Linked DNA regions of Alligator mississippiensis. Each later gene encodes a partner of the first gene's protein in a complex. Links are inferred from orthologs where the notes say so. Each region holds a gene or a part of one and is shown in the gene's direction. Other genes may lie near its edges.

The links.
Region 2: NUP214 (region 1) and NUP205 share a complex: the UniProt entries of both Homo sapiens proteins name them as parts of the nuclear pore complex. The link is inferred for Alligator mississippiensis from reciprocal best matches to the Homo sapiens genes NUP214 and NUP205.
Region 3: NUP214 (region 1) and NUP85 share a complex: the UniProt entries of both Homo sapiens proteins name them as parts of the nuclear pore complex. The link is inferred for Alligator mississippiensis from reciprocal best matches to the Homo sapiens genes NUP214 and NUP85.
Region 4: NUP214 (region 1) and NUP188 share a complex: the UniProt entries of both Homo sapiens proteins name them as parts of the nuclear pore complex. The link is inferred for Alligator mississippiensis from reciprocal best matches to the Homo sapiens genes NUP214 and NUP188.

What each region holds. Positions count from the first base shown.
Region 1 is NC_081835.1:59,555,342-59,563,345, forward strand, and holds the start of NUP214 (nuclear pore complex protein Nup214), read left to right. Parts: upstream 1-5,001; 5' UTR 5,002-5,067; coding exon 5,068-5,109; intron 5,110-8,004. UniProt on the Homo sapiens protein: Part of the nuclear pore complex. Has a critical role in nucleocytoplasmic transport.
Region 2 is NC_081827.1:91,530,703-91,538,282, forward strand, and holds the start of NUP205 (nuclear pore complex protein Nup205), read left to right. Parts: upstream 1-4,571; 5' UTR 4,572-4,629; coding exon 4,630-4,657; intron 4,658-7,580. UniProt on the Homo sapiens protein: Plays a role in the nuclear pore complex (NPC) assembly and/or maintenance. May anchor NUP62 and other nucleoporins, but not NUP153 and TPR, to the NPC.
Region 3 is NC_081831.1:12,344,184-12,351,444, forward strand, and holds the start of NUP85 (nuclear pore complex protein Nup85), read left to right. Parts: upstream 1-4,259; 5' UTR 4,260-4,309; coding exon 4,310-4,342; intron 4,343-4,428; coding exon 4,429-4,519; intron 4,520-5,054; coding exon 5,055-5,217; intron 5,218-5,939; coding exon 5,940-6,010; intron 6,011-6,783; coding exon 6,784-6,827; intron 6,828-7,261. Other genes in the region: 52 kDa repressor of the inhibitor of the protein kinase, read right to left, coding at 1,416-3,812. UniProt on the Homo sapiens protein: Essential component of the nuclear pore complex (NPC) that seems to be required for NPC assembly and maintenance. As part of the NPC Nup107-160 subcomplex plays a role in RNA export and in tethering NUP96/Nup98 and NUP153 to the nucleus.
Region 4 is NC_081835.1:58,084,489-58,091,958, forward strand, and holds the start of NUP188 (nucleoporin NUP188), read left to right. Parts: upstream 1-4,455; 5' UTR 4,456-4,525; coding exon 4,526-4,551; intron 4,552-7,470. Other genes in the region: DOLK (dolichol kinase), read right to left, coding at 1-437. UniProt on the Homo sapiens protein: Component of the nuclear pore complex (NPC), a complex required for the trafficking across the nuclear envelope. Required for proper protein transport into the nucleus.

The sequences.
Region 1 (8,004 bases):
GCTCCTGGGACTGATCCCAGACGGTCCCAGCCAAGGGCTCACTGAATCAGCAGTGCTCCTCTCTGTCCCTATTCAGTCATGCTTGCTCTTCCCCAACCAACACAGACCCCAATTTTGACATCCAGCCTCCCTGCCTCTCTTGGCATCCGCTCTTAGGGAGTCTCCTGTTGATAAATGATCCCAAACCTTGGTGCTGACTGCCGTGGTCAGGCTATGAAGGCTACGGCAGGGCTTGATGAGAAATGAGGGGGTCTGACTGGATACTTTTGTCTTTCTGTCTGTATAGAAGTAGCTATGGTAAGACTAGGGAGGAGAAACCGGAGAACCCTGAGAGCCCCTAAGGCACAGGCCTCTTGTGGGTGTTATAGCAATTGATTGCAAATTAGGAAATGCATGGTGGTGGGTATTGGGGAGCTTGTAATCTTAATGTGTTGTGAAGGATTGCTCATTGGAAGTGAAGCACTGGCTTTAATCAATGCCACCCATCAAGCTAGCTGTCCCCATGAAACAGAGAAACTCTCCAAACCACGTGTTTCAGGATGCATTGGCTCTGGGATTGAGCTGGGCTAGATCCTTGGATGTTTAGGAGCCTGGAGAGGCCTTTCCTGCTGGCTGAATCAAGGTGCAAACCCATAAGTTTCTAGATCTGCTAAAATGTCTGGCTGAAATTGGAGCATAATAGAAGCTTAAAACCTGCAGGACAGGGGAAGTCCTCCCCACATTAAGGCAAACTAAAGTCTCAGTGACTTCCACCTATATTAAGCCTGCTGAATGTGTAGGATTAAGCTTGGAGTGTGCTCTGCAAGCTGCTGGCAGGAATACACCACTGCTCTTTCTTCATACAGAAACTACAAAAGGAGCTACTTGACATGTCAAGGCATTTCTGGGTGGCTATAAGCTGAAGCTCATGCCAGAAGTGAGATAATGGGAAGAGTTGCCCCCAGATAGCAATTTTGCTGGCTGCTGACTGAAGGATGTAGACACGAATGTTGAATCTGTGAAGAAGCCGCAGAGCCAAACAAGTTTCTTGGTGGGCCCCTCTTTGCCCGGGGTGGATGCACTCGTGTGAGCCTGATGTCTCTGGAGACGATTCTACTAAGTCAACTGTTGGTTGCAAAAGGTGTTGCTGCTTCTGTCTATTGAGTTTTTAAAGGTAGACTTCCTAATATATTGGGTTTTCTAGGAGGCTCCTTGTAATGTGAATAAGCAGCTGGCCTCTGAAGTTTGGTCGTTTCCCTCGCTGCCAGTGGCCAGTTAGTTCAGTTCCATAACATCAAATCTAAATTGGCTGTTCTCTCTCACCTGAAATCTCAAGGGGCGGTGGGAAAACCAGCCCAGCTAGTCTTGCTTTGGACATTCACAGAAAACGCTGGGGATGTCCTACAGCTGCAGGAGAAAGTGAGATCAGAGGAGTCCAGTCTGAGCCCCTCGAATCCATCCAGCCTTGCTGTGGGGGAGTTTACTTTCTTTATACAGGTGGCCTCTGAACTTCTGGGATCCTACAAACAAATGCTTTTGTTTAAATGTATTACAATGGGACCATTCTCATGAGTGAAATTCAGCACATTGGAAAGGTTGTCTTGGCAGAGCTGGGACCTTTCGAGGGCAGGGAAGGACTCGTCTGATGCCAGTGTAGCTGGGACCATGCTCTGATCATTCGGGACACTGATGCGATCATTGCTTTCTATGTAAACTCTTGGAATCTGGTTGTTTGCTGCTGGGGTTTAACTGCTTACTCTGTTTCTTCTTTTATGTTCTTGGCAGCTTTTAACTTTTGTGGTTTTTAAATCCTTGTATAAATAAAAAGTCCAAATAATTGTAACTTGACTAGACATCTTGCTCCTTCCAAGGGCTGTATTTTTTTTTATGTCTTGCTATCATCTTTGTATGAAAACTTTGGAATTGTGACAGGGGGAGAGACTGCAGATGGGGGTGGCACAACTCTGCTTGTCCAGGTGGAAAAATAAACCTTCTGAAACAACTTGAAGCTTCGGCATGTCCTGTTCTTGTTTGAACCAGGGTAAAACCGAGTTCTAACCCCCACCATGTACTGACAGGAGGGTTTTGCCTACCTTCTGCCAACTCATTTTGGACCCATGCTTGTGTCCTGGGTTACAAACAGGAGGTGGAAATCCTAAATCAAAGCACATCTGTCTGAAACGCTTCTGTTACCACTACTTGTTTTCCACTGCAGGAGCAAGAAGACGTCTCGTTAGGTATGACCCCTGCCTCTACCCTGCCCCTAAGGAATAAGGGCAAAAGAAAAGTCCTTCCAGCCTAATGCAAATCACCAAAGCAGGGCCCAGGAGATGTGGGGCAGGTTTCTCAGCTGCACAGCTGCCCTTGTGCCCCAGCATGGGCAGGAGAAACAAGTAAAAGACATCTGCTACAGCCTTTCTAAAGAGCGTGTGTACTCCCCTGGGGCCAGCACTCACTTCAAGTCTTGGAGAATTAGAACCAGGAGGGCAACTGATTTACCAGTGGGAGATTTTTGTCCCCCTTGCTTCAGGTAGTTTATTGAATGTAATTTGGACATCCCGGCACTATTGTAACAAGGACTTTTATCCCTGAGCTAGAGTGAAACTAGCTTAGCTGGTACTAGCAGGTCTTTTGTACTGTCTGGACTACCTGCTATGGACTGAAATGACTGCACACTTATGCTGTGTTACAGCTGCCTCCAAATCCTCTAGTGCAAGCAGGTGGACCGAGTGAAGAGAATTTCCCCCACTGTAAAGCCTCCTTTGGATAAAGCAATTGGCTGCAAATCACACTGGGCTCTGCTTTGAGCAATTAGTTTTCTGCATCCTGAGCCCAAGGTGGTCAGAGACTTAACTCTGTGGCCGTTTACGCTGCAAGCCTAAGGGTAAGAGGCCGTCACGCCGCTAAGGTCAGCGCTAATGCAATTGTATTTGCTTACAGCAGGGGTGACGTCGGCCTCAGGTGTGGAAAAAGGCAAGTAGGATCTAACAGCTGGTGTCCTGGGGCAAGGCTGGCTAATGAGATTGCACAGGCAGCGCTGCTGCGTTTGCCCTTCACATGCTCTTGCGTGTGCTTCTCTGCTCCATTTAAACACTACAGCACATCGCAGCAGAGCATTGGCTGACTTCAAAGGGCTACAATAAAACCACAGCAGGCTACAAATGATGCCTGGTGCCAATGATGGGAATGCCTTGGGCCAGGGGAGCATAAATTGGACTGAAATAATTCAGCTAAAAACAGCATGTCGGTAGTGGCTGACAGGGCTAGATCACCGGCCTTCTCAGTAGTAGCAGTGGGGACAGGTACACAGCCCTGCCAAGCCCCTATTGCACCATTAAAAGGGTAGTGTCCTCCCTTCTATTTGTGCTGGGAGCTGGAAGTGGGTGGCTGGGGCACTGTCCCCTGAACGGGCACAGCCAGGTCCTGGAGAGCTGCTGGGTACGTAACAGGACTCCAGGAGCTGGCGCCTTAAGATTATCCCCAGCGCAATCATTCTGAAACTTTGACCATTGCTCCTGTCCCTGTTTTGGCTTTGAGTTGTACTGAATAATCAGTGCCATGCCCCTAGTGGCCCCCATCACCAAGCGGGGCTCATAGCTCTACGTGTTGAGCTTTGGCCCATGTTCCCAAATGGTACATCAAAAGGCCTGTGTCACACGCAGGGCCCCCAGGGACTGCGGGGTCGTTTCCCTGTCCCTCCTCCATTCACGTCTCACCAGGCAGTGTCCGCCAGCTCCTTGAACACGTTCGAAAGCCAGCAGGCAATATCCGCTGTGCTGTGCTCGGCGTCCCGTCTTGGCACACTCTTTTCGGACCTTTGACCATTGTTCTCATCCCTGTTTTACCTTTCTTTTGTCCCAAGAAATTAGTTGTTACTTTCTCAGCAGCCTCCTGTCCTAAGGAAGTCTTCTTGTTCTTGGTGGGGAAGAGCCCACGATCCCTTGGAAGTAACAAATAAGCCTGTTTCACGCGGTGGCAAAGAACAAATGCTGAAAGGAAGCAGGAACTGAGTCTGGCCAGGAGTTTTTCCCTATTGTCCCTCTCTCTCTTGCAGCCTTCAGCATTTCAGTGCTTAGGAAGCTCCTTCAGAGGCCGCGGCCCACACTCCCAGGCTCAACAGCGGCTCTCCAAGAACGGGTCCAGGCCCTTGGCTGAATCTGGCTGGACGGTCAGCTCCCTGCGCTAGTGACCCTCTGGGTGCAAAACAACGTCCTGACGTTCATTTTACACTGACCACCTGCTTGTTTCATGCTCTGGGCTGGTGGGAGAGACTCGGCGCTCAATGCTGGCTGACTTCCTCTCCGCCATCTGGGGTGGCGTGCATCCCTCTTGTCCCCCCCCTCCCCAAACAAGTGTTTCTCTTCCCAACCGATGAGGCCGGGCTTTCGCCTCTCTCTGCGTGGGAGCCCCTAATCCCCCTGGTTGCCCTTGTGTGGCCATCTCTAGTTCCTCTCTGTCCTACGGGGGCAACCGGGCACGGCAGCCCAGGGCTGGGGGCACCAGGGGCTTGTCAACGGGGCTCATAAGCAGGGATCCTGGTTTTCTCGGATTTAAAAAAATCCCCAATTTTCGGTTTAAAAAGAAAGAACCCCAAATCCACATTTTTCTGTGATTAAACCGAAACACCGTGTGTGTGTGTCTCTATATCTATAGATAAATCTATCTAGATCTATATAGATAGGTATACAGATAGATTTGTAGCTATAGATACATCGATCCGTATCTATAGATAGATTAATAGATAGGTATAGTGGTGTTTCATTTTAATCATGGGAAAATGTGCATTTGGGGTTACATTTTTTTAAACCGAAAATTGGGGGGGGTTTAATCCGAGAAAACCAGCACCCATGCTCGCAAAATTTATGGGTAGGCCCCGCCCCTACCCTGAAGCCCCGCCCCTTCTTGCAGCCCTCTCCCCTCCCCACCCCGTTCTCTAGTCCTCCCGCCCTCAGCTACCATCGAGCGGCGCGGCTAGAGCGGCCTCCGGCTGGGCCGGAAGCGGAAGTAGCCGGACAGTGTCAGTGGAGTGCGTAGCGCGCGGCGGCGGCGGTGGCGGCGGCGGCGGCGGCTCGGCCGGGCCTGGTCACCATGGGCGACGACATGGACGTGATCCCTGAGCGCGACATGAAGGTGGGGGAGGGGGCAGAGCCTCGAGGGGCCCTCTGGGGTGCGCGGCGCTGCACAGCCTGAGCCCCAGGAGTCTGCGGTGGGGGAGGGGCAGGTGGGGGGTGCTGGGGGAGGATCAAGGCCCCCCTCGGGGGTGCTGGGGGGATTAAAGCCCCCCTTGGGGGTGGTGGCTGCTGCAGGTGTAAAGGGGAAGGTGGCTCCCTCCGGCAGCACGGCACCAGCGGCTCGTGGCCACATCGCCCTGTTCAGATTGGTCCCAATGGTGCTGAGGGGGAGGGGGTTATCTTCCTCTGTAGCAGGGGGCTAAACATTTCGTATCAGATGCCTGCCTCAAATTGTTCGAATAAGACGGCAGGCCAGGGCGGCGAACGTGGAAGTGTTAAATGTTGCTGGTCTGTCATTCGTGAGAACGTTGACAAGTAAGACACGACTCGGGTGGCTTGGTCATGTCAAGAGAATACCGGATCGCAGGATCCTGACGACCGTGCTGTACTCTGAAGCTCGCGCAGGGTCTAGAGAGAGGCGGCAGGCGCTGCACGGGTTTCGCGATGCTTGCAAAGGAGACTCGGCATCTTTTGGCACCTCCGTGGCTGATTGGGAAGGCAGTGCGGAGTGCTGCTCTGGTTGGCGGACTCAGCTTGCAGATGAGCGAGGCGCTGCGGGGTTGACCAGATCAAGTTTTGCGACGACCAGCGTCAGAGGAGGAAAGAATCTGCTCGGATTCAGAGCATCGCTAGCGCGTGGGTGGCGTGCCCTGTCTGTGGGCCCTGTCACGTGCGTTGGATTCAGCAGCCATCAGAGAACTCATCAGCGCGTACGCCATGCTCTGTAAAGAGCAATGGTGCTAATTGAGTGATTGTAGCAGGGGTTGTGGCCTCCACCCCAGATCCCTTGGGCATATATTGGCAACCTTTCATAGAAGTGGGACATTGGCTGCCTTGGTTTCCCTGCTTTATCAGTGCCAGGTTTGGGTGCTAGGTCTGTGTTGGCTCAGGATTGATGGTCTTACGTAGAGTTTGGGTGATGGATGATAGAGGATGGTTTGGATAGGGGTTGGGCCTGCCTCAGGTAGAGGTTGGACTGGATGAGCTCTGGAGGACCCGCCCAGCCGGACTCCTCTGTGGTTCTATGACATTTCCAAGCCCCCCCCCAAGCCAGGTGATATGGCCCCCTGTGTGGGACATGACCCAGGGTTTGGCCCCCAGCCCCACATACCCTGGGTTCAGCCCCCAGACTAGGGATGAAAGGTTGGGTACAGCTGCTGCAGAGAAAAAGCCTTGTTTCACCTGAACAACCCTCAAGAGGGATTTTGGCACCAAGCAGAAAGGCCTGTCTTGAGCTCTGGTCGTGCAATTTCATAAGAAAGGAGTTTTGCCTCCTTTCCATCGCTTATTTCCTGTGTGAAGTGTGCGGCCCTTATCCTTGTAGGTGATTCCTGGGAAAGTCCAGTCTTTCCATGCCCGTTGGAACCTCTGGAGCAGATCGTTACAAAGGGTTTGGCCTTGGCTCTCTTGGAAATTCAAGCATTTTGTGGTGGTTGACCTATTTGCGATGTATTCCGGTGGTTCTTCATTTGAGAAAGTGAGGAACAGCACTTCTGTTGGCATAAAATGAAAATGGTCAAAGGTCAGGCTGAGAGCGCCTTTACAAAGGATGTTAAAGAACAGAAGATTAATTTTAACTTCCTAAAAATAGGAACAAGGGAGGAATGGGAGCTGCTTTACAGTAAGGCTGGGGTAGAAATTAAAGGTAACCTAGATGTGGCCTAATACTTAAATGAGTATTTCAGTATTCGTGTAAGATGTTGGTACAGAGCCTATTATGTTCCTGTTGTATTATGTGGGTCAGAGACTTTGGGTTTTAATAAAGAGGGATTTCTGCAGGCTGTAGCAATAAATAAAGGTATGTATTGGGAGCTTGAGATCAGACTGAGTGAGTGCTAAGGAGCATGTTAAATCAGCAGAGTTGAAGACATGGGTAGAAAGACAAGAGCTGGTGTAGTTGAAGCAAACAGGAGAGAATGCAGGAGGACAGGATACTTCATGGCATGATGAAGGTGCATACTGAGGGCAAGAGGCAAAGGGAAAGACTGGAAAAACCTGGAAGGGCATTTTGACTAGATGGTGTCAGGGAAGAAAGTATGTATATAAGATAGCAGGCAGCGGAGAAGAAGTGGAAGGAGATATATTACCAGACCCAGGGCAAATTTCATGCACTCAACGGAAATTTGTGTGTATTTTGTCCTTATACAATGGGAGCGCATCTTTTGGAGATGATGGAGGAGGAGGAGGAGTGTCTGCATATACTAGTAAGTTGTAGGCTGACTGAGGCTTCTTCAGTGTGATGCAGCCATGAAAAAGGCAGCACAGTCCTAGGAACTATCAGGAGGATTTCCAATAGGAGGAAGTACTGGCATTAATGCCGTAGCACAAAGCCCTGGTACCTCATTGGAAATATTGTGTGGTTTTTCTGGTTGTTCAGATTAAAGAAACCAAGGTTTCAAACTTGGACAGATGCAGAGGAGAGCTACTAGGTTGACTGGAGAATAGGGAGTCTGTGTTGAGAGGAGACAAAAAAAAAAAGCTTGGTTTGTTCAGCTTAGTGAAGCAAAGGCTGAGTAGGAAATGATCACTTTTTTTAAATACATCCAGGGAGGGGAAAAGAGCTGTTTAAGCTAAAGGGCAGCATTGGCATGAAATCAAATGGGTATAAACTAGTTGTGATTATATTTAGTTTAGAAATTAGGCTTGTGACCATTGGAACAGTTAGCTTCTGGAACAGCCATCCTGTAGGTGTGGTGGGGGAAATATTTCTAAAAAAAAAAATTTAAGATGAAGCCAGGTGTATTTATGGAAGGGATGCTATGATGCAGTTGCTCGAATAGCAGGGGGCTGGATT
Region 2 (7,580 bases), on another chromosome or scaffold:
CCCAGGTCCATCCCCCCCATCTGGGCCCACTCCCCCTTTCCTCCTGCTGCCTGGGGTCCAGGCCCGATGTGGGGAGGACTGGGCCCAAGGGTGGGGAGAAGCCAGGCCGTGGCGGTGGAGGGAGGCAATGGAGCAGCGGGCCCAGGCCAACCTGACAGCAGCAGGGCGATGGGAGGAGTGGGCTTGGGGCAGATGCGGGGGAGTGAGGCTGGGGGAGGAGTGGACCCGGGTCCGACGGGGAGAGGAGGCTCGTTCTCCCCTTCCCCTGCAGCTGCCATGTTGGGCTGGGCTGGGCTGGGCCGGGCCGGGCCTGCTGTTCCCCCCCACACTGCTGTGGTGGGCTGGCTTTTCCCCCGACTTGAGCTTGCTCCCTACCGCCCCGCGTGAGGCCCAGGCCCAGTCCTCCCCTGGCCCCACTGCCACCGCTGATGCCATGGTGCTTCTGCTCCTCCCCTCTGTGTCGGGCCCGTTCTGTTGCTGCTGCCTCCAGGGAGCAGGGTGGAGGGGGAGCAAGGCCGTCTCCTATATCCCCACTATCATGGCGGCAGGCTGCCTTCTGTCAAAACACTTCTTTGTGCTCTGATTGGCTGTTTGTCAGCCAATCAAAGCGTAAATAAAGTGTTATGGACAGACAGACAGGCAGTCGGACAGACTTAGGCTTTTATAATATTAAAATAGCTATCTTGAGCTAGGAGCAGATGTTATCCTAGGACTAGTTAGACCTGTTTTTTGTACCAGAACAGAACTATCCTGGGATGAGTCCGTGAAGAAATCCTCCTTTCTTTCTTCATCACTTTGGTTATTCTAGGTGGACCCCCCCCCCCCCCCCTCTCTCTCTCGCTTTCGTTTTTGTTCAGGCTGGTCAACCAGGTGACCTGGCTGGATAAATTCCTGAGGGGAGTGGGGTATGCTCCCTTCCTGGTGCCAGGCATTTTTGAAAGCAACAGACAATATACCTCCAGGCTGCTGCCTGGATGATTTTCTGTAAGTAAAGACTTAGAAACTAGCCAGGAGTTAGGATTTATGTCTTGGCTAGGCATGTTTTAAAAGGATTATTATGTCCAAGGCTGTATAAGACTCTGATTGCTTATGTTTACTCAAAGTGTATTCTGACTTCCTTGTTCTACCCCTGCTCCCGCCCTGATCAATGAAGGTAACAGGTTACAGTGTGCTTTGCTATGGTACAATGAAGGGGAGAGAGGCAGACCTTTTTGCTTTCAGCTTAGCCAGTGGAGGTTGTCTGTTTATGTTCCCTCAGTCCTACCTGAGGTTATCTTGGGATGCTTTGGGCCAAAACAGGCACCCAGAAATATTACCTGTGGGCAAAGCAACCACACGGTTCACAGGATCTGTGTGCCCTGGGCTCCACAGAGCTCTAACAGAAACCAGTACCTGGGTGGTGGCAGCGTTACCCCAGAGTTGCGGGTGTTCTCCAGGAAGTGGGACAGCTGGCTGTAGGCACCCTGTGGGAGACTCCCAAGTGAGGTTTTTGGGCCTGGCACAGTGAGGCAGGTGGCTCTGAGTAGTAGTGCCCCCTACTGTGCCACCACAGGTTTCATACATGAGTAGATCTCTGATTTTGAAAAGAGGGGCGCAGATGGTGTGGTGCATCAATATTTTTCTCCAGTTAAAGAGAAATTAGAAGATTTGCTAATATGCTAGGAGCCCAGAGATACATTATTCAGTTTAAGATCAAAGCAAAACCAAATTCAACTTTATTGGCATGTGCATTCATTTGCTAGATCAGGGGTCAGATGCGTTTTTGAACAGCATGCCCAAAACACCCACAACCTTGTCTGTAAGATGTTGGAATTCCAGGGACAGACAGCAGGGAAGCCATGAGGGCCCTGATCTTTGTTGTGGCAGCACAGCCCCGGGCCCTTCCCTACTGTCAACCCTGAGGTGTGCATGCCAAGCAAAATGCTTTCATGTGCCACACTCTGGCACATGTGCCGGGGGTTGCCTACTAAGGGTGTGTGAAGTTTTGGTCGCTGATTCGAGTTGGAGAAGATTTGGCCCAATTCAGAGGCCAAATCACCGAATCCAAATAGAATTGGAAGACCAAAAAAACCCTCTGAATTGATTCAGAGCTGCCAAATTGATTCAGAAAAGATTTGGAAAAAGATTTGGAGATTTGGAAGGACAAATTAGTTCAACAAGAGGAGTGGGCAACAAAAAAGAAGATTCCATTTCTCAAATGTACATCCTCTAAACCCTATAAGAGGAAATGTTCTGCTAGGATGTCCCTCCCCCACCCCCCATTTCCTTTCTGTACATCTCTTCTTCTACATTGGCTATTGTATTTTGTCTTTCTGGGGTTTTATTTTGGTTTTGGTCTTTTTTCCTTAGTTGTCTTTCCCTATTCAGCCATCTTCCAGAGCAGGCATCAGCAATCTTTTGGAGCAGCAGAGCAGGCTGCTTTAATGCACCTGGCTGCTGCCACTGCCTCCGCTTCTTCCATCACCACAATGCTGTGGTGGCTTCCCCCGGCCAGCAATACTGGTCCCTGCTGCAGAGCTGACCTCCCCAACAATTGCGGCAGACATCCTCCCACTGCCGAATCGCTGCAGATGTGTCCAGGATTCGCAGACCAAATCTGTTTACTTGGTGGGCCTGATCCGGCATGCATGCTGTGGGCTGTTGATCTTTATTCTAGGGTCCCTATTTTCTCTGCGTAGCCTTTTTTATTTCCTTTCCCATCCCATTATCTCTGCCTCTTTTCTTCTTGAGTCTATCTGCTGTCTCTTTCCCATGAATGTAGTTTATTGAACGTTGTTTTGTAGCCAGAGAAGTAATAATTTTAATAAAGTTCAGTGTGAAAACTACTGGCCACTCAAATGAAAACATCTTTTAGTGTCATCTTCTATCTCTATGGTAACACAAGATGGAAATTGCCAAAGCAAATCTGCAATTATTAGAATGGCTAGTGGGGCCTTAAGAAAGAGATTATTTAAAAGCATGAGGCCAGCATGCTACTTGCAGACAAGGGAGTCTTGTCAGGTATTAATGCTTATTCTGTAGCTCTAGCTGTATAACCAAATGGCTGTTTTGTCCTTTCTTCTTCACTCCTAACAGTTCTTTCAACTTTCTTTTGAGAAATTATTTTTCCACAATTTCAGTGTTCTTTGCCCCAAGTTGAGGCAAGCCTTTGTTGTATACTGGAGTGTAAACCCAAGTTTATCATAAAAAGGACACAAGACATGGATTCCTAATCCAGTACACTTGCTAGTAGAGATGGTTCAAAACATTGGTTTTTTTCAAAAACAAAATTAATTTACATTTGAATTTAATTTGTATTTTAGAAAACTGAAAGGCCATTTTTCATCAAAATGTTTTGAAATTTGTTGTCTATTAAAATTTTCCAGTTTTTCAATGAGAAACTATACAGATTGAAATCTTTTGGGTTTTGAAAACTGACAAAAAACGATTTATGCTTTTACAATGACCCTCCCCCCCCCCCAATGTTTTCAACTAACTTTAGGTGCTAGTGACATGAATGCACACACCCTTATGGAAAAACCTTTCACAAATTTTCTCTAGGAGGGAGGCATAAAAACAGACATGTTTATCATTAAGATCTGGAAAAAGGGAGGGAGGGAATTAAAGTTAACAGGAATAAATTGATATGTTATTTTAAATATATGAGACTGATAAAATACAGAAAAAAAATGTTCTACCTGTGGCCCTGATCCTGTAGACATTTATACCTGTGTTTAATTTTGTTAGTTCTTTATCACCTGAAAAAGCATTTTATTAACAAGTTTGAGGCACGTTAATGCAAAGAAAGCATTGACCTGAAAAACATGCCACCACCAAAAAAGCACGCAAGCAATTCCACAGGCAGACAAGGTGCTTTGGGTAAATCCAATATATTTATCTAATAAAACTCTAATAAAAGATACCGGATTTACCCAAAGAATGTGTCTGTCTATGTCCTTAGACCAACGCAGCTACAACCTGCACCCCTACGAGCAGTTACAAATTACAATCACATCTTTTACCAAAACATGTGACTCAATAAGCCACAAAATCAATTTATTTGCAGCAGTTTTTGTTTTTAATGTCTGGTTTCTATTCCAGTGGTTTTTGGAAATGCATAACTACCGTTGTCAATGGCCAGAATAGGAGATGTGATTAATGATGCTGACTGATGTGTCCATGGTGCCTCATTGTCACACGGATCAAGCCACTCTGGGAGCGGGACCGCTAAAACACGTGGCCCAATGGGTAGTGCCTGGGCTCCCGCAGGGAACCAGCTTCCCGTTCACCCTTTCAGCCTACCCTCGGTTGAGGCGCCCGGTGGCACGTGGGGATTCTAGCCCGTGGGTTTAGGCATCTCTGCAGTCCAGGCATGAACTACAACTCCCAGCATCTCCCGCGCTCGGGCCCTGAGGAGCCCAAGAATTCGAGGGCACCCCTGCCTGTCTGAAAGCGTCTCGGGATGCTGAGTAACGAAGAGTGTTGTAAATTTCTCTGCGAGTGGCACAGTAGTGTATGAGGGCAACTGCGTCCCGCTTTTACACCCTGCACTGGGGGCAAAAGGTGGGGCTTTTTAATCAGGCACTCCGACGGACGCCCCGCGCTATTTCTGGGCCTCTCTGCGGCGGGTCGCGGGAGTCGGTTTCCAAGATGGCGGCGCCGTTGGCGGTAAATTCAGGTAAAAAAAAAAAAAAAAAGCCGAGGTGCGGAGTGGCGGCGTGTGTGGCCCCTGCCCCGCGCGTGCTGCCCCCCCCCCTCCCGTTTCGTGCGCGCGGAGCGGGGCCGCGTGGGCTCCTGGCGGCGGCGGCAGGAGAGCGGGGCCTGTAGGCGGCGTGACCAAACGTCCAGATAGCTAAGTGCCGGGTGCGTGGTGTGTTGGCTCCGTGAAGCTGTCGGGCGATGCTGTTATCCAGTCCAGGCAGGACCAAACTTCCCAGCCTTTCTAGCCGTAGCCGAGCGCTGCAGGCAGGCACATCAACGTTTTTTATGCTGACTGTCTGGAGTCGATGACTGGCTTGCCGCCCAGCTCTGTAATAATGCATCGTTATCTTTTTTTTGAAGCAAATCACATGTAGGATGTAATAAACAGACACAGAAGAAAAAGAAAAGGTTTTTATTTAGCTGCTTCTTTTTCTTGAGGATTCACATTACATTCTCCAGGAATCTTTTGTGGCTTGCAAGCCATGGCATAGGCACATGTGATCTAGTCCAGAGGTTTTCAACCTTCTTTAAGGAGTGTACTCCTTCTAGGTACACTTCTGGCTGGTGGTGGCTGGATATGGGGGGGGCTACACACCGTGTGGGTGGTGGATGGTGGTGGCAGCTGCCATGTGTGAGTTCCTCCCCACTGCATCCATCTGTCTGTCTGGGCAGTGCCTGTGTGGCCTGCAGAAGGGAGCCACTACCCCCACCCCTGGCCCTGCTCCTGGGAGGTGGTGGTGCGGGGTGGTGTGTGGCGGTGCTCCACTCCTGCTCACCCATGCGTACCTCCTGGCCCCTTTTCAAGTACCCCTGGGGGTATGCTTGATAACCCCGATGTAGTCTTGAGCGGCACAGAGGAGGGTTATCCAACTGGTGGCTCATGGGCCGTGTGCAGTCTACAAGAAGTTAATCTGCTGCTCATGGACTCCCCTTGGCCACTACTACGCTGGTCTTTGGACAGCAGCAGCAAGAGCCAGGGTCTTCAGGCTCCCTCCCTTCTTTGGCTTCTACCTCCTGCCCCTGCCTCAGAGATGGGAAAAGAACAGCATGGCTAAGTGCAATGCAGGCTGAAGTGCCAAGGGAGCCCGTGGCCAAATAGATGAGCACGTGGATCAGTGGGGAGAGGCAGCCCACATGTGCAGTAAAGTAGTGGTGAAAAGAGCTGCCTACTCACATGGTGTGGGGTGAGCTTGCAGCTCCCTCAGTATGTGGCCCCTGTTTGTGCAGGCCTCGGTTGCTAAGAAGTTAAAATTGCCTTGACACAGACCACAGAGCTGGATGCAGCAGCTCTTGCCTGAAGCTTTAAATTTGTTTGTTGCTAATATGTAGTAATTCATCCCCTCTGTGACTGCCACTCCTGGTTTATATGTAAGTGAGAGAACATCAGATGTCAGAAATTTGTCTCAATTGAGTTCTGTTGAGAGAATGAGAATTGTTTAGTCTCCTTTATGTCAGGTCTCTATTCTATAGAACAATGTACATACATACATACATACATACGGTATGTAAACTGTATGGGGTAGTATGGAAGACTGGAAATGCTGCATGAATGTTCTTTGTACTTGGTTTTGCTACTTAAGTGATGTCAGTCTTAGAGGTTAGGAGATATAGCAATAAAGTGAGAAGTTCTAGAAGTCACACTGAGTTACTGAGTTAGAGCTTGTAAAGGAAATTCCAACCAATAGGAAAAGGTTCTTCAGCCACATAATTAAAAAGAAAATCATGATGGAAAATGTGGGGCTGTTGTGCAGTGAGGGTGTATTAGTAATTAAAGTTAAAGTATACAGGCAACCTCTCTTTAACGCTATTTCGCTATAGTGCTCATTTCACTTTGATGCCCGGTTTCACTTAGCGTTCATGGGTTTTGCTATAATACTCATGTATCGGGCAGGGAGTGTCAGCGGTGCACAGCCTCGTTGCCATCTTGCTTTGTCAAAAACTTTTGTGCTCTGTGCTCTTTCTTGCTCTTTTGTGCTTGTGTCACCATCTTGCTTTGTTTTTTGAGTTGTGCCATGAGTCAGAGACGTGCAGCTGACTCTGAGAATGCAAGTGCTGAGAAAAAACAGTGCAAATGCATAATGCTGGAGCTTAAATTGGATGTCCTGAAGCAAATTGAAGCAGGGAAATGCCAGAATGAGGTCTGTAGAGCGTTGAATTTGTCTGGGTCAGCTGTTGAAAATTTAAGACAAAATAAAAGAATGTGATAGATTTGTAACTCCTTTGAATGCTTTGAAACCCAGTATGCGTAGGGCTCCAATTATGTTAGAAATGGAGAAGCTGTTAAGTGTGTGGATTGAGGATACGACTCAACGCCATATGCCCTTGAGTATGCTGCTTATTCAGAAGAAGGCTAAGAGTCTGCATGATAATTTACAGAAAAATTTGCCCAAGGGGTCTGCTTCTGAGCCTTTTTATGCAAGTAAGGGGTGATCCGAAAGATTTAAGAGGCACAGCAACTTGCATAATGGTTCTATTCAGGGGGAGGCTGTTAGTGCTGACACCCAAGCAGCTTCCAGCTGTAGAAATAAGCTTGTGCAAATTATTGAGGAGGGGGTTTATATGCCTCAACAAGTCTTCAATTCTGATGAGACAGGCCTCTTCTGGGAGAGGATGCCTTCTAGGACCTACATTTCCAGAGAGGAGAAGTTGATTCCAGGTTTCAGGGTGTCCAAGGATCGACTTACTTTATTGCTTGATGGTAATGCTACAGCGGATTTTAAATTGAAACCATTGCTTGTATACCACTCAGAAAACTCCAGGGCTCTCAAAGGGTATCTTAAAAGCAGTCTGCCAGTCATTTGGAAGTCTAACAAGAAGGCCTGGGTGACCATGTCAGTGTTTCAGAGTTGGTTCAGGGCTTATTTTTGTCCTGCAGTTGAATTGGGATCTTTGGGAACAAA
Region 3 (7,261 bases), on another chromosome or scaffold:
TCTCTCAACTTCTCAATTAAAACAGAATTCCTTCCAAGTGAGGAGCGCTGCACTCTCCCCTCCAAAGCCATCTGCAGACATTCTGCGGAATGGCAAGGACAGACTCCAAAGTCCAAGCTCACAGGAGACACTGGGCAGAACAATTTGCCCCAAATTCCAACAGGGAGAGTAAAACAAGCATGAAATGAAAGCAGCAAGGATAGAATCTTGCCTGGAATCAACTGAGCTGAAACACATGTGATTACAAAGAAGGCTAAGGGGTGAGAGCTGAGTTCAGCAGAGCAAAGCCCCCCCCAGATTCCCTAGGAGGCTTAAATTCTATTTGAATCTAGGAATCAAGATTCATCCTTGGGCAACTGGCCAACCATACCAACAAATTGGTGCCAACTGGCCAATCTGTGAAGAAGAGAGCCTAACTCCATCACAGAGACACATGACAGTGTCTAGTCACCCAGAGCACACTGCAGAGGGAGGTCACACTGCACAACAGACCTAAACCTGTGGCACCCAAGTGATAGTAAAGTGGCACAAGCTGGTGCCTTGTCTGTAAGGGGTCAATGGCCTAATTCAGTGAGTTGAAGAGGAGCAAAGGGGTAGAACTCCACAGAAATGCTACTTCCAGGAGAAAAACCAATGTGCAATTTCATAATCATTTCCACATTAAGCCCGAGGTTGGGTTTGCATAAGCAAAAAGAGCGAGGCTAAAGTTGACCTCTCAACTTTTAACTCTGGAAGCCTGATTGTATAACCGTCACTTTGCATTAATATGGTTTTGTGCACAGAGTATAAACTGCATGCAATCTTCCCAACTTCTTACATCAACATTCATAAATACTGACACCTCCTCTTTCCCCAAGTCACAACATTAGTGTAGAAGGAATGAGCTTTAAAAGGTAATCAATGCCCCCTTTCTCATCAACTTTCTGCTTTTTCAGAAAATAGTGCTTTCCTGCTTTTTGCTTTCTTGGTTGGGCAGGTCTTGAGTTCCCTAGACCTTCTGTGCTGGCAGTGTTCCCAGCTGGCCAGAGGAGTTCTGTAGTTCCATAGTTCCACACTGGCCTCCAGTTTCAGCCTATGGAGGTTAATCAGGCATAAACCATGACTGGTTTCCTCTGGCCATAACCAATGGGATGACAGACAAAATTGCCTGGGGCATCTAGGCACAAGAACCAGCATGGGATGCGGTGCATCATCATCACATATAACAATACAATTTTTCTCCAACTACAAAGAAACTAGAAACTTTACTAATATCCTAGGGGCCAAGGGTTATACTATTGAGTTTAAGATTGAAACAAAAACAAATGCAACTTTATTGGAATGTGCAGTCAGTTGCTATATTAAGTATAAAAAGGGCAACAAACTAGGAAAGACTTTTGTCCTGTAATCATTAGGATGCTATGTACATTTCTCATTCAGAGTAATAAAATAAAATCTAGCCTTGAGCGTCTTGACAGTTCATCCAACACTTCACTGACAGTTATTTTAATGTGCGAGTTTATGTACAACATGGCCAGTCCATTAAGACGCTCTTCATCCACTGCTGAACGAAGCCAAGTTTTAATTCTGTGGAGAGTAGAGAAACATCTTTTCGCTGGAGCTGCGGATACAGGAAGCGTGCACAGAATCCTGAGTAAAATATGAATGTTTGGAAACCATCCCTTGTCGCAGTCTGTCAGACTATCAATGGCTGTGCTTGGCACTTCTTTTTCCTCCTTGCCCTGCCACTTGAGTTTCCACAATTGAAATTCCTCCAAAACCATATTCCTGCTATCTGGCAAGTCTTCACCATACATTTCTAAAACACGGCTAAGCTTTTCAGATGGATACCGACATGAAACGAGAGGTATTAGAATGCCAAGATCCGTTACAGTGTTGCTGTGCAATGTAAATCTCCTCGCCAGTTCTTGAATCATGAAGTCCAAAAATGGGATATAAGTGTTAATTCGAAAGTAGTCCTCAACACTGTCACATGAAACATTGCATCTGTTTTGCTGCCGGGCTGCAAGTTGAGGCAATTTTACCTCAATGTCATGTTTAATTGCAAGTGACTGGGCAATATTAAATATTTCTGCAAATTCAGCATTAGAGTTAGATCTCTTACCTTCTAAAACCTCAACTGCCAATTTCACTTGGTCAAAACATTCCACAATGTCAGCATTTACCCTCTGAAGTTCCTTGGACAGTGGAAGAGTGATTCCTAAGAGGAATTCAGCAACTGTCAAATTGATAATAAATTCAAAATCACATACGCTTTTGTAGTAGAAATTTGCTTTATTTCTGACAGCTTTGTCACCATCCGTCTGCATTGCTTCCAGTGCTGCAATAATAGCATCGTAGAGCTCAGCGAACACCATGATACTGTCATGTCGCTCCACCCATCTAGTAACACAGGCACTTTGCAAGCGTTTGTGCCTGCTCTTTGGGCACGTGGCATTTATAGCATCTGACAGGTACTTCATCCGTTTGGCCGACTCCTCAAAATATCCAATAGCTTCATTCAGAATGCCTAAGGTAGTTTCTATTCCACGTATTGTGCAAGATTTTGCTATGGTAAGATTCAAAGCATGAGATGCACAATGGCTGTACGCAGCTTTGGGAAAGTCAGATTTTATGTGAGCCTGTATACTGTTTACGTGGCCAGCCACTTTGGTGGCTCCATCATAACCCTGCCCCCTCAATTTTGTCAAATCTAGACTACATTCCCTCAAGAAATCCAAAAGGGCCTTTGCTAAACCGGCACCAGTCAGGTTATAAACAGGTAAAAAGCCTAGGAAAACTTCACAAACTGTAACTGGATCTTCTTTGACATATCGCACACAGACAGACATTTGTTCCACATTTGAAATGACTGTGGTTTCATCATCTAGGAATACCGCAAAGAAACCCGACTCATTTATTTCATGTACCAGCTTGCTTCTGACGATGATATTGCTTGCTTCTATAATTTCCCTTTGAATGGTTTCACTACTGTATATTGCATTTTGGGGCTCATTTAGTAAGTGTTCGTGTAAGGTTATGTCACCAGCTTGACAATGGAGACGCAGAAGTGATTGGAAAATGCTTTCAGATTTACTCTCACCGTTCTTACCCAATTCACCGTTATCCTTCCCTCCAAGTGGCAGACCGTTTTTACCTGCAAACACCACAGTCTCAATGATAGGCGCAAGTTTCTTTCGGTTTTCTTCTACCTGGGCACATCTTTCTTCATCCAGCGTGTGTATGAGAATTTTATAGGTTTTTTCATAACATTCGCTGAATATTTGTGCTTCCAAACAGGCTGCTCCGTGAAACTTTTTTGTAGTGTGATTTTTTAATTTTGTCGTAACTTTTTGCCAATTCTTGCATGGCTGAGAAACCAGCGTAGACAGTTTCTGGCCTCCTACCTGTATTGGGGCAAACAGCACACAAACACGACAAAAGACGCCCGCGCATTTCTCGCTATAAGATACGAACGGATAATTTATCAGCCACGAGTAATTAAATTTTCGCGACGTGTTCTCCGAGTCTTTATACACCGGGAACTCATAGCTCGGATGAGGGGTCCACGGCTGGGTAAGCAGTTTATACTTAATTTCATCGCTTATCGAATGCCTACAGTCTACGTAGTTCCCAATGTCGTAGTCGTGGGGAGTTTCGGGATCGGGCAGGGCTTCCTTTTGATCCAGCGCCAACGGCTGAGCTTGATGCGCCGCAGCAGACTCGGGATCCAGCGGTTCCCACGCGTCGGGCTCGCTTTTCACCGTCGCGACGCACCGCTTCGTACAGAACGGATTCGCGGCCGTCTCGTCTTCTTTCCATCTCTTCTCCATGTCGGCCCGGACCACGAGGCGCCCCACGCAGAGCGGGGACCTGGAACAGCACAGGAGGGAAAGACAGCGGCACCCGTTGGCCCAGCAGGGCGATGTTTCGGAGGCCTCGCTGTGCAGCCCGACAACCGGCACAGCACCGCGCCCCCGAGCCGGCGGGGCGGGGCGGGGAGAACGGAACGGAGCCGCCCGCACCCCAGAGCCCGAGCCCGGCCCTCGGCTCTCCAGCAGGGCCAGTGGGGTTCTTCCTTCAGCCCGTCGCGCGGGGCTGCCCTCGGCGCGCCTGCCCCCCCCAAAAAACCCAAAACAAACCTAATTGTTAAGGCCCAGCAAACCCATCCTCCTCGCCACAGCGCTTTCTACTCTCGGAGGTTAATGAAGGCGGTGGCTTCGCAACGTGGGGCGGAGTCGAAGGCGACAGGCAGCGCGGAGGGCAGCCGGGAGGGGGCCTTCCTCTGCGAGGGCGCGCGGCGGCCGGGCTGGAGCGCGGCGGCGGCACCATGGAGGAGCTGGATGTGGAGCCGGCGCTCACTGTATGGAGGCGGCGGGGCGGGTGGGGCGGAGGGCACCGGCCTGGCCTGGCCTGGCCTGACCTGACCGCCCCGTTCTTCCCTGACAGGTGGTGCCGGGGGTGGCGCCGGGCCGCGGGCTGCACTTCCAGTGGGGGCCCGGAGAAATGCTGGTGTGCGAGGCCGCCTTCCCCGGCGCAGGTGGGTTAGCACCCCCCCCCCCTCCGTCTTATTCAGCAACATAAGGGTTACCATCCTCCCCCCCTATTTTATGCTGAACATAAATAAAGAAAGAAATAAGGGTTAAGGTTTTGTTTTAACAGGAGCTGAGATTTTCAGGGCGTCTCTGACTCCCCGAGTTGAGGCCGTTAAGGAAGGAAACTGCACCTTCACGTGGCAGAAGCAGCAGCACAAACGGGGCAGGAGCAGGGGGAGAGTTCAGCGCCAGCAGCGCTGATCAGCCGTAGGCGTTCAGGTGTAGGAACGCAGGGACTCGGACACTGATCACAGGGGAACCGACTTGGAGTTGTCTCCAGCAGAATATTTATCGCATCCAGTCGGTCTGCACCTCTCGCGCTGTTTTTGTTACTGGCTCATTTCTTAATCCTCATGTGTCGCTTAAAAACAGTTAAACCCTGGGTTTTAACTTGTGAAGCCTAGAAGCGTGCTTCTGCCCTGCAGAGTGGTAACGCTCGTGTTGTTTTATGAACTGATGGCTTTCCATGATTTGTTTCAGGACACGGGGAGAAAGGGCCTGGCTGCCCCTATATTTATGTCCTTCGCAAGGATCAGGACATATACTTACATACCTTACGTAAACTTTTCAATGAATCCCATGGCATCTTTGTGGGGCTCCAGAGGAGTGAGGAAGAACTGTCTGGGAAATCAAGGAAGGCACAGTGAGTGGATGGAAATGCTTGATAAGTTTGACATAAAAAGGACAATTCAGCTTTCTTGCCGCCCCCCCCCAAGAATATCCTCTTATTGAGGCAAAATTCAGGTAGCATGTTTGCACGTCCCCTTTCGTTGTTAAAGTGTCTCCGAGTCACTGAAGTGATCAGACATAAATACCTACTTGCCTCTTGTTGACTGAACGTAGTAATGAATGTATTTTGGTTTTGTTATTCCTCTTTATTATTGCCTAGTCTCCTTTACTGCTGATGAATGTTGCCGCCTCCCTGGCCAAGGGGGTAGGAGATCAATCCCCTTAGGACTGGTGCACATGGCTGTCTTGTTAGGAAGGGAGGTGGTACATTAATAATTATGCTGTACAAAAAAGGCCTAACGTATTGCTCCTGTTTGTACATCAAACACAAGTCCGTTTGCAGTGAAGCCAATAACAAAACTTCTGAGTTTCAAGTTCTCAGAGCTGCTGCTGATCAGTAATTTTACGTAACTAATCTTTTCAATATATATTTTATAAAGTTAGGTTCTGCGCCTGCAGATTATTTTGTGCAGACAGAACCTATATGGACTCCCCTTGCTTCATTTAGATTCTCCAGTGCAGGAGGTGAATTTCTGGCTGAGCAGAGAAAATTTGAAGGGTCTTGATCCTAATGTCCAGTAGCCATATGGCCAATAATACATCTCTCTCTAAACAAGGCCTCTTTATTCTTGCTAGGTTGGTTGGAGTAAGTAAAAACTACCGGTCAGTCATCAGAGCCTGCATGGAGGACATGCATCAGGTGGCTAGTAAGTTGTTTTTCTCCATTAACAACAAACAGACTAGGTTTGAGTCCATACATTGAATCTTATTGCAACTCTTTATTATAAATGACCGTAAAATAAGCTGTTCTGATTGTCAGTGGGGGTTCTGCTCTTCTCCCTAAATTCCATGCTGATTTTTGAACAGAGGCTGAGACATCGTTGCATTACTTTTTAATTGAACTTGCAAGATTACTCTTGTGGTTACGTCTTTTTAATCTTATCCACTCTATTTCTCTACTCTTCAATTCCTTTCTTAAATTTTTCAGTTCCTTGGCAAACCTGATCATTTTCTATTTTTTTACCTTGCTTCTGGTTTTGCTGATTTTTCTTCACACAAGATACTTTGCAACCTAGCACCCCAACTCTAACCTAGCTGCGTCAAGGGTCATTCTTGCTGTCCCTTTTAGAATGCTGGACTTCTGAATCACCTGTCATTTCATGAATGAAAAAGGTGGTTTCTTTATTATGATCTGTTCTGAACCCTTAGGGTTAGAAACAGGTTTTCCCGCAGAGCAGACAACAATATAGCACCATTATAATAGTGGAATGCCCCTACTCTCTGTGACTGATTGCAGCAGTATGATGATACTTGTTGCCAGTCATGTTTTTTTCTTGCACATAGCATCACTCATGGTCATTTATTTTTCTGTGCTACTCTGCTTCATGAGCCTTTAAGCACTGTGTGACATGTCTAAAATACAGTTTAAAAGGTCTGGACAAATGTTTGGACTACTTCTATTTATTTTTTTCTTCCTCAGTTTCAACTCGGGATCCTGCCCTGCACAACCAGTATAGCACTCAGGTAAACAGTCCTTATATTTTTGAAACCTGGTCACAACTGAAAGTAAACTCTTGCCAGAAAATATACGAAGGCTAGCATACTGTGGCAGTGATATGTTCTGAATCTGGGTTGTTTTAGTCATTTGGCTCTGTGTACCCGCAGCTGTACATGGCCAGATACACAAGCTGTAGGAGCCATTTATTTATATGTATTTATACAGTTATGAAAAGTTGCCCCTTTGAATTGTGGCTCCCCCACTATTACCTCAGTATATGTCCAGTTTTGCAGGTGAGAGGCAATCTTACCATTTTATAAAATCTGTGAGCCAATATCTCACTTCACCCTTCAAATACCACATCCAAAATAAGCAGATGCGTCTCCTAGCAATCCCTGAAAATTAGACCGTGAACTTGCAGCAATAATAGACCAATCTTCCAGGAAGAGCAAAAAGTATT
Region 4 (7,470 bases), about 1.5 Mb from region 1:
GTCAAAGAATGTTTCATGGTGTAGATGATTAAGCTTCCAGCAACACCAGAAAGTATGCAAGTATTAGTTGGCACAGGTTTTGTGATGCCAACTGCTATTACAGATAAGAAGAGGGCTATCACCATGCCAGTGGAGGCCACAACTATGCCAAAACGTTCAAAATACACAATGCCAGACATCTTGCATCTCTCTTTCATCACAATCCCCAACAGTGGAATGACCATGCTAGCTGGTAGAAGGCCGCTATTAGCCGTTGTCCGGAACTGGAAAACTGCTCCACCCAACTGGAGGAGACGGTCCCATTTAAACTGGACATAAAAAGCCTGAATGGCAAGAGCAATAGCGCACCAGGAATACCGATCCCACACCACCATGTGCACACACAGCACAATGGTGAAAACAACCAGAGATTCTACAAGCACTGGCTTGAGTAACATGGTTCCAATCAGCTGTGTCCCGTGATGTTAAAATCGTTATAATTGTCTGATCCCAATGTTTTCAATACGGTCTTTGGTCCGTTCGTAGAAGTTCACTTTCATCCTACTGCAATTCCTATAAACATAAACAAAACAACAACATTAGAGACTATAAGAACACTCAGAGCTTCTACAAAAACAACCCATTTTCTTAAGCTCAGCTGCATGCTTCAACTCCTGTACAAGAAAAATAAAACCAAGAAGGAAATAAACTGGCATTTTCCATGGCATCTAAGAATCAGAAAAGTCCAAGTCAGCTTCCATTTCTAGTGCCAAATCTCACAGCACTTTTATTCACATGCAAATACTAAAAACTCTAGTTGGTATGTCACATTTTTCTTTCCGCTACTGAGAGTAGGGAGGTGAGCACTGCATTCTGCAAGGAGTGTGCACAAATACAAGCAGCAATGCTCAAAAGAATTACACTGGTAAATGCATTTAGCTACTTCAGTAACTTATAACTTAAATACAAAAAAAATCCCCCTTAAGTCACAAGTTTGTTGTAAATGTAAATGACATTATATAACCTAAAACACATGCACGTGTGTGCGCGCACACACACACACATTGTGAACTATGCAAATTAAACAATTATGGATATAATTATTGGTAAGATTTTGGTATTAATAGAGATGAATAATGCTATTCCAATCATCAGCAATATTTGGTTGTTTAAAATATACCAACAAAAACAGAGCACATACTAACTGGTATGTAAAATGAACACAAATCATAAATAAAATAAACCAGAATAGGTAAATCAGATATTGATATTCAGCCTGCAAAGTCAATTTAAAAAATGTAAATGTTCTATGGGCCCTACCTTTGTTCCCAATTCCTTCCTTCCAATTTTTTGTGAATTTACAGTTGTATTTCCCTGTTTTTAAAAATATTTTTCTCTCTCCTCTTATTTTGTGAAAGGCAAGAAACAAACAGCAATGGGTATTGACAAAGCAAACACTGTAAACACACCAAAGATAAACTTCCTCACTGATAAATTTCTAATTATGGTAAGCCTAATTTTAGTAAATAAAAGTCTAACCTATGTATGAATTAAATTTATAGTGTCTCTTTGTAAGGAAACAGTTTTCCTGCCTTTTAATACAAGTGTCTTCTCTCCCTTAAGTAATAATCATGCTTTAGAAATATTAACTAATAACTTGAAAATTTGATCCATGCTGACATTTTGACTGAATAAGAGTCAACACAAATCTGTTAGCAACAGATTCAACACAAATTAAGAACATCTAAAATCTGGATGGAAAACTATAATCTGTGATGCAACAAAATAAATATCCCAGAGTATTCTGTGAACTCCCAGTCATCTTAATATGCATTTTAAGCTTATCCCTACCATGTAGTTGGTCCAATAAGATATCAAACAGAGAAGTCCTTGCCAGTCTGTCTTCTACAGCTTACCTTAACTTGACAATTTCATTGGTAAGGAGGTAAAATCTTTCACATCCTCTCCAGAATTTATTATTTCCTCTTACATATTACATACTTTATCAGTGGTACCTCACTCTATTTAAGCTAAGGAAAAAATATCTTGTAATAACATTCTTAAAGGTTACTCAAATAATTGATGTTTAGGGTCTAGATAGTTTTCTCATTGGCTGGAAACTTTGTACTGCAAATGTAATAATTTTAGTTCTAATTTTCATTAGGGTTCTTTTGATATCTATACCCATAGGATTTGAAATACAAAATTATTTTAAGCGATCAATTCATATTTGCTGCTGCTATAAAGCTAGGCCAAGATGCATGTATTTCCCCCTGTTCAACAACTCATTCATCAGTTTTGAAGTCATACAGGAAAAAAGTTTTATATAGTCAAAAAAGGTTAAAAAAAAACCCGTGCCAATTTTACCCCCCTCTGCCCAATACTAGCTTTGAGCAGGCCATTTCTAGATTTGTATAAGGAGTGAGGACCTCTCCAAGAGGGGCAAAGTGTACCTCACATACTAGCTAGGGAGGAGATATACAACAGAGGAATATGGCTGATTGTAAGTTCCAGCTCAGCTCCAATGCAACAGTGACACTTAGCAGCCTCACTTCAAGAAGTCTGTTCAAAAAGCCCCACAGGGATACACTTGGATGTCAAATGCTGATTTATAAGCATCTTCAAGTGCAACCCAGACACAGTGTAATTTGGAAACCTAGGGTGGGGGGGAAGAAATACGGCCCACAGAGGGGCTTTGCCCAGCCCACAGCAGGTCCCTCAATCCTGCCTGGCCCAGGTGCCATCTGGCCTGTGGCATGTCCTGCCATGCCCAGGCACGCAGCAGGGCTGGGGCAGTTCTGTGGCTGGGCTCCATTTCTAGGCAGCCCAGGTGGCAGCAGATGCCCTCAGCCCCATGGAGTCTGGTGGGGACCTGCACACACAACCCCAGCCAGCCCTGCACCCACTGCAGACTCACCCAAGCTGGAGTGGACCAACTCCAGACCAGCTGGGACCTACATGCACAGCCCTGACCCCAGCCTGCTTCGGACTGCCTGCCCATGTTAAGCAGCGATGCCAGCGTTGGTGGCTGTGCAGAAGCTACCACTGGGTGCAGGGGAAAAGTGCCCATCTTTTTTCGCTGGCCACCTGGAGCCTGCACCTGGGCTATCCTGCGGCTCCTCTCCAATGCCCTGCTGGGCTGCTCAGAGGCAATACTGGTGGCAGTGGTGACAGTAGCAGAGAGAAGCCACAGGGCATGGACTCCAAGCGGTCGCAGCAAGAAAGGCCTGGCAGTGGCAAAGGGAGGTGGGGTGACATATGACTGCTTTTCCCCTGCACCCAGCAGCAGCTTCTGCATGGCTGCCACTGCTGCTCATTGTGGCTGGGCAGTCCAGATCAGGTGTGGGGCAGGTGGTGGTTGGGGGTTTGCATACACTTCCCACCTGGTCTGGAGCTGGTCCGCTCTAGCTGGGGTGAATCCGGAGCGGGTATGGGGCAAGCTGGGGCCAGGGCTGTAAACTCAGCTGCTGCTGGGTGCCGGTGGCAGGGAGGAGCTGAAGGGCGTGTGGGCTCCGGGCTGTTGGGTTGTTTTTTTTGGGGGGGGGGGTAGGGAGAGGGAAGGGTGCAGCTGCAGCTCTCCAAAGCTACCTATGTGGCCCGCGGGCCCAAAGAATTGCCCACTCCAATCTAGGGCATACTATAACTATATAACAAAAGACTTTATCATTCACTGATTTCGTTGCCTTGTTTTAGGAACAAGGGAATTGCAAAGGTTTCACCAAACACGACCTCTCCAAGCTCCATCATCTCACAATACTTCCACTTCCTCACATACAGAAGATGCCACACTATTCCTGCCCTCCTATCTTTCCAGGGTCACCGCTCACTTTCTGAGCTGCTGCAAAATCGCCCTCTCGTTGGCAGGGTCTCCTCGAGCTCATCTCCCAGTGGCCTCACCTCTGTGCTCACTCCATCTCTCACGGGCCGCCGTTATTTCTCATTGAATCTCACCGCTGGTCTAGGCGTCTCTTTTGCAGCTCCTGACATCTCGAGCAGCCGTGCTTTGTCTCCGCACCTCGGCTCTCCAGCTCCTCTCCCGTCTCCACTGAAACAAAAGGCAGGATTTCTTCCTTATCTCCGCTGCTTAGTGTTTGTCTGAGCTCCTTCTACCTCCTTCCATTAACTCCCCCAGTGAGTTTTTGGGGGACAGCGGTGGCCCTGGCAGCCACTTCGGAGGCGACCCAGGGGGCAGGTGACGGGGGCAAGGACGCCCGAAGGAGCAGCCTCCGGGACTAAGCAGGGCCGCGGGGCGCCTCTTCGCTGCGACAACCAGCAATGCCACGGCCAGCAAAGAGCCCTGACGGAGGAGGGACTGGGGAGGGGAAAGGCGAACACCCGCCCCCCGCCCGCGAGCCGCTTCGTCTCCATGGCGCCGCCTCCCCGCAGCACCAGACTCGAGGCCACTCACCTCACAGGCCGGCGCCATCTTGCCGGCTGCGTCCGTCACGTGATGAACCCCCGCGACAGGCTGGGCGCGAGGCCCCGTCACGTGACGCAGGTGCCGGCCCGAGCGGCGGGTAACGGGTCACGTGAGAGGGGCGCGAAGATGGCGGCCGGCGGGCTGTGCGCGAGGTAGGAGCGCGCGCGGCGGTGGCGGGAGTCTCTCCCACCGGCAACGGCTCCTCCCGGGGGGTCGGGCTGGGTTCAAGGGACCCCCTCTAGCTGTCTGTTCCCGTCCAAACCCTCCTTGTTCTCCTGGAGCAGAGACCCCCCCCACCCCTCGGGTAAATCACCTCTGGGCGCTAGGTGTCCCCCCAAGCAGGGGGCTCCGACGAGGTAGGGGGTGGCGCTGTGCCCCGCTGCCAGGCGTCTCCCACGCACCCACTCACTTTCTCCACCGCCCGGCTGGGGCTGGCCCCGTGGCTGCATCGCACCGGGCTGCGGTGCCGCCTGCGCCCGCAGGCCGGGCGGGGGGGAAATGCCCTGCCCTGCCCTGCCCTGCCCTGCCCTGCTCCGCTCCGCGTGCATCTGCATGAGGTGGCTCAATTCACCTGCCCTGCCCTGCCCTGCCCTGCCCTGCTCCGCTCCGCGTGCACCTGCATGAGGTGGCTCAATTCACCCCTTCGCTGCAGTCCGGGAAACGCAGGGTCTGGCGGTCTTCGACATAATCCACTTCTGAAGCTCGTTCCCTCGAGGAGCTCCTGAAAAAACAAGGGCGTCGTGGGAGCCAGGGGGAAAGCAGGCCCTGTGGGCTCCTAGGTCTTGTATAACTCCCTTGGATCCTGGTGCGGACCCCGGAGCATAATAAATGGGTCCTTATCAAAGCGGTTCTTGTTCCTAGTGAGGGTGCGGAGGGGACTTCCTGGGCTCCCAGGAGCTGTTTCCATCAGCCTACATCAGATCCATTTCCACGTGGGGTTTGGATCCCTGGGGGTCCACAGACTGTGTAAAGCAGGGGCGGGCAATTATTTCCGGTGGAGGGCTGCTTACTGAGTCTTGGAAAGCCATCGAGGGCCATATGACAGGCAGCCTGGGGCAGATAAATATTAATTTTCTAAATTTTGGGGGGCTCTGCAGGCTGGATAAATGGCCTGGTGGGCTGCATCTGGCCCGCGGGCTGCATTTTGCCCACCCCTGATGTAAGGGATCCGTGAAAGATGATTATGATCGATCAAAAGCAGGCAAATACACGCACTTAAAAGTCCAAGCGGTCCGCACCTCCCTTTGACATTTTATATGGGCCCGCAAATGAAAAAAGGTTGAAAACTGCCGCACTGAGGTTCATTGTGCATCTCCAGCAGTAAAAGGAGTGGTTAATCATTTTGGGGTGGGTAAACAGCAGCAATTTATCAAACCATTCAGACTTCAGCTCTGTTTGTAAGGACTTCTATTTGGCTTGGGGCTGAGGAGAGTTGGGCTGCACAGCTGCTTGGGGTGTGAGAGTGGAATATAATAGAGCCTAGCCCAGAGGGTCTTGATTGAGGTGTGAATGGGAGCAACCTAATGGTACTACAGTAGTCACAAAACTTGATGTAAACTGGTTACAAGAGAAAGCAGGGCAGGATGACTACAAGAACAAACTCTTTCATCCCTGAATGAAAGAGTGGACATATGTTTTGCAGGGTTATTTGACCTGAGCAAGCTTTCCTGCCCAGAGCAGGGAAGCTGGACCCAATGATCTCATCATGAGGTCCCTTACAACCCTAAACTTCGGTGAATCTGTGAATGATGCAAATGGGTACCCAGGCTGTAAACTTGCCTCTGTTCGCAGCCTTGCATTTGAAATGCTTGAAAAAGTAATTTATTTTATTTTATTTATTTTTAGCAGTGAGAGGAGGCACAGGGACCAGCAGTGAATTAGATATATTAGTGTTTTTGTCCATTTAGAATCTTAAGTGGAGAATATGTGCTAACAAAAATAGAGCAACTTTTTAAACAGTTTTGCTGCCAAATGGAAATCTCAGTTTACACACCACCAGAACGGGACCAAATAGTCCATTGTTCTGTAGAACACTGAGAACACGTTATAGAGAACTTTTCTGGTTCTGTTGCAAAAAAATTACATTCTGTGCACTGCACATTAAAGTCTGTTCTTAGAGCTTTAATCTCCAGAAGTGAGCCATAAACCTTGAAGACAGAGATCAGATTTTCAAGTCAAATGTGTAGTCTCATGATGAAATTGATATTTGAGGAGCTGATATACACTTTAAGCCTTTGGATATCTTTACTGTTCTTTTGATCTTGCTTGTAACATGTCAAAACTCTTTGACTTTAAGCAACTATTTTTTCAATATATTAATTAATTACATGGATAATCATGCCCAAGGCACCACCTGGGATAGGAGCACTATTGTGCATTATAAATGCTTCATAAGAGAAATTTCCTTTCCCAATAGCATCTTTCCCAAGAAGCATCTTTAAGTGAATTGGAAGGAGTTGAAGCCCCATTTTAATCCTGGAAAAGTTCTGAATGAAATGAAAATGGGGTGGAATTGATTCAGCCATATTGCTGTTATGCATTACAGAGGGAGTATCTCCTTGGGAGAATTCTGTAGTCTTGGTGCTCTGCACGGGACAGAGGGGTGACACACATTTTATCGCTAATTGGAATAGGACAGGTTCTTCTGCTTTTATAGAATGAAGTATATCTAACTAGAAAGGAATCGGCAGCTAGAAACTACACCAATGAGTGCATTAGAAACCGTAACACTGGAAATCAATTATGTAGCATTGCTGTATTAAAAGACACTTAGGGATTTGAACTTTATAGTGATATTTTTTGTAGATTGCATTCTCAAAGTAAATAGTTTGCTTTTAGTTAGTGTTGCTTTTCTTTGCATTTCTTGGTTCTTCTGATTACTTGTGAAGGAATTATGTTCAGGTATTTTGCTACTGCTCTACTATTTGAGAGGAAGTAGTAATTTTCAACCAGAGGAGAAAAAGATGTTTCTAGTCTGCCTCATTCTGGAGTAACTCCAGGGTAATTTAGTCAAAATAAGACACTTCCATCCTAAGTGTATCTTGATTGGCAGCAAGTCAGGCTGTGTGTAT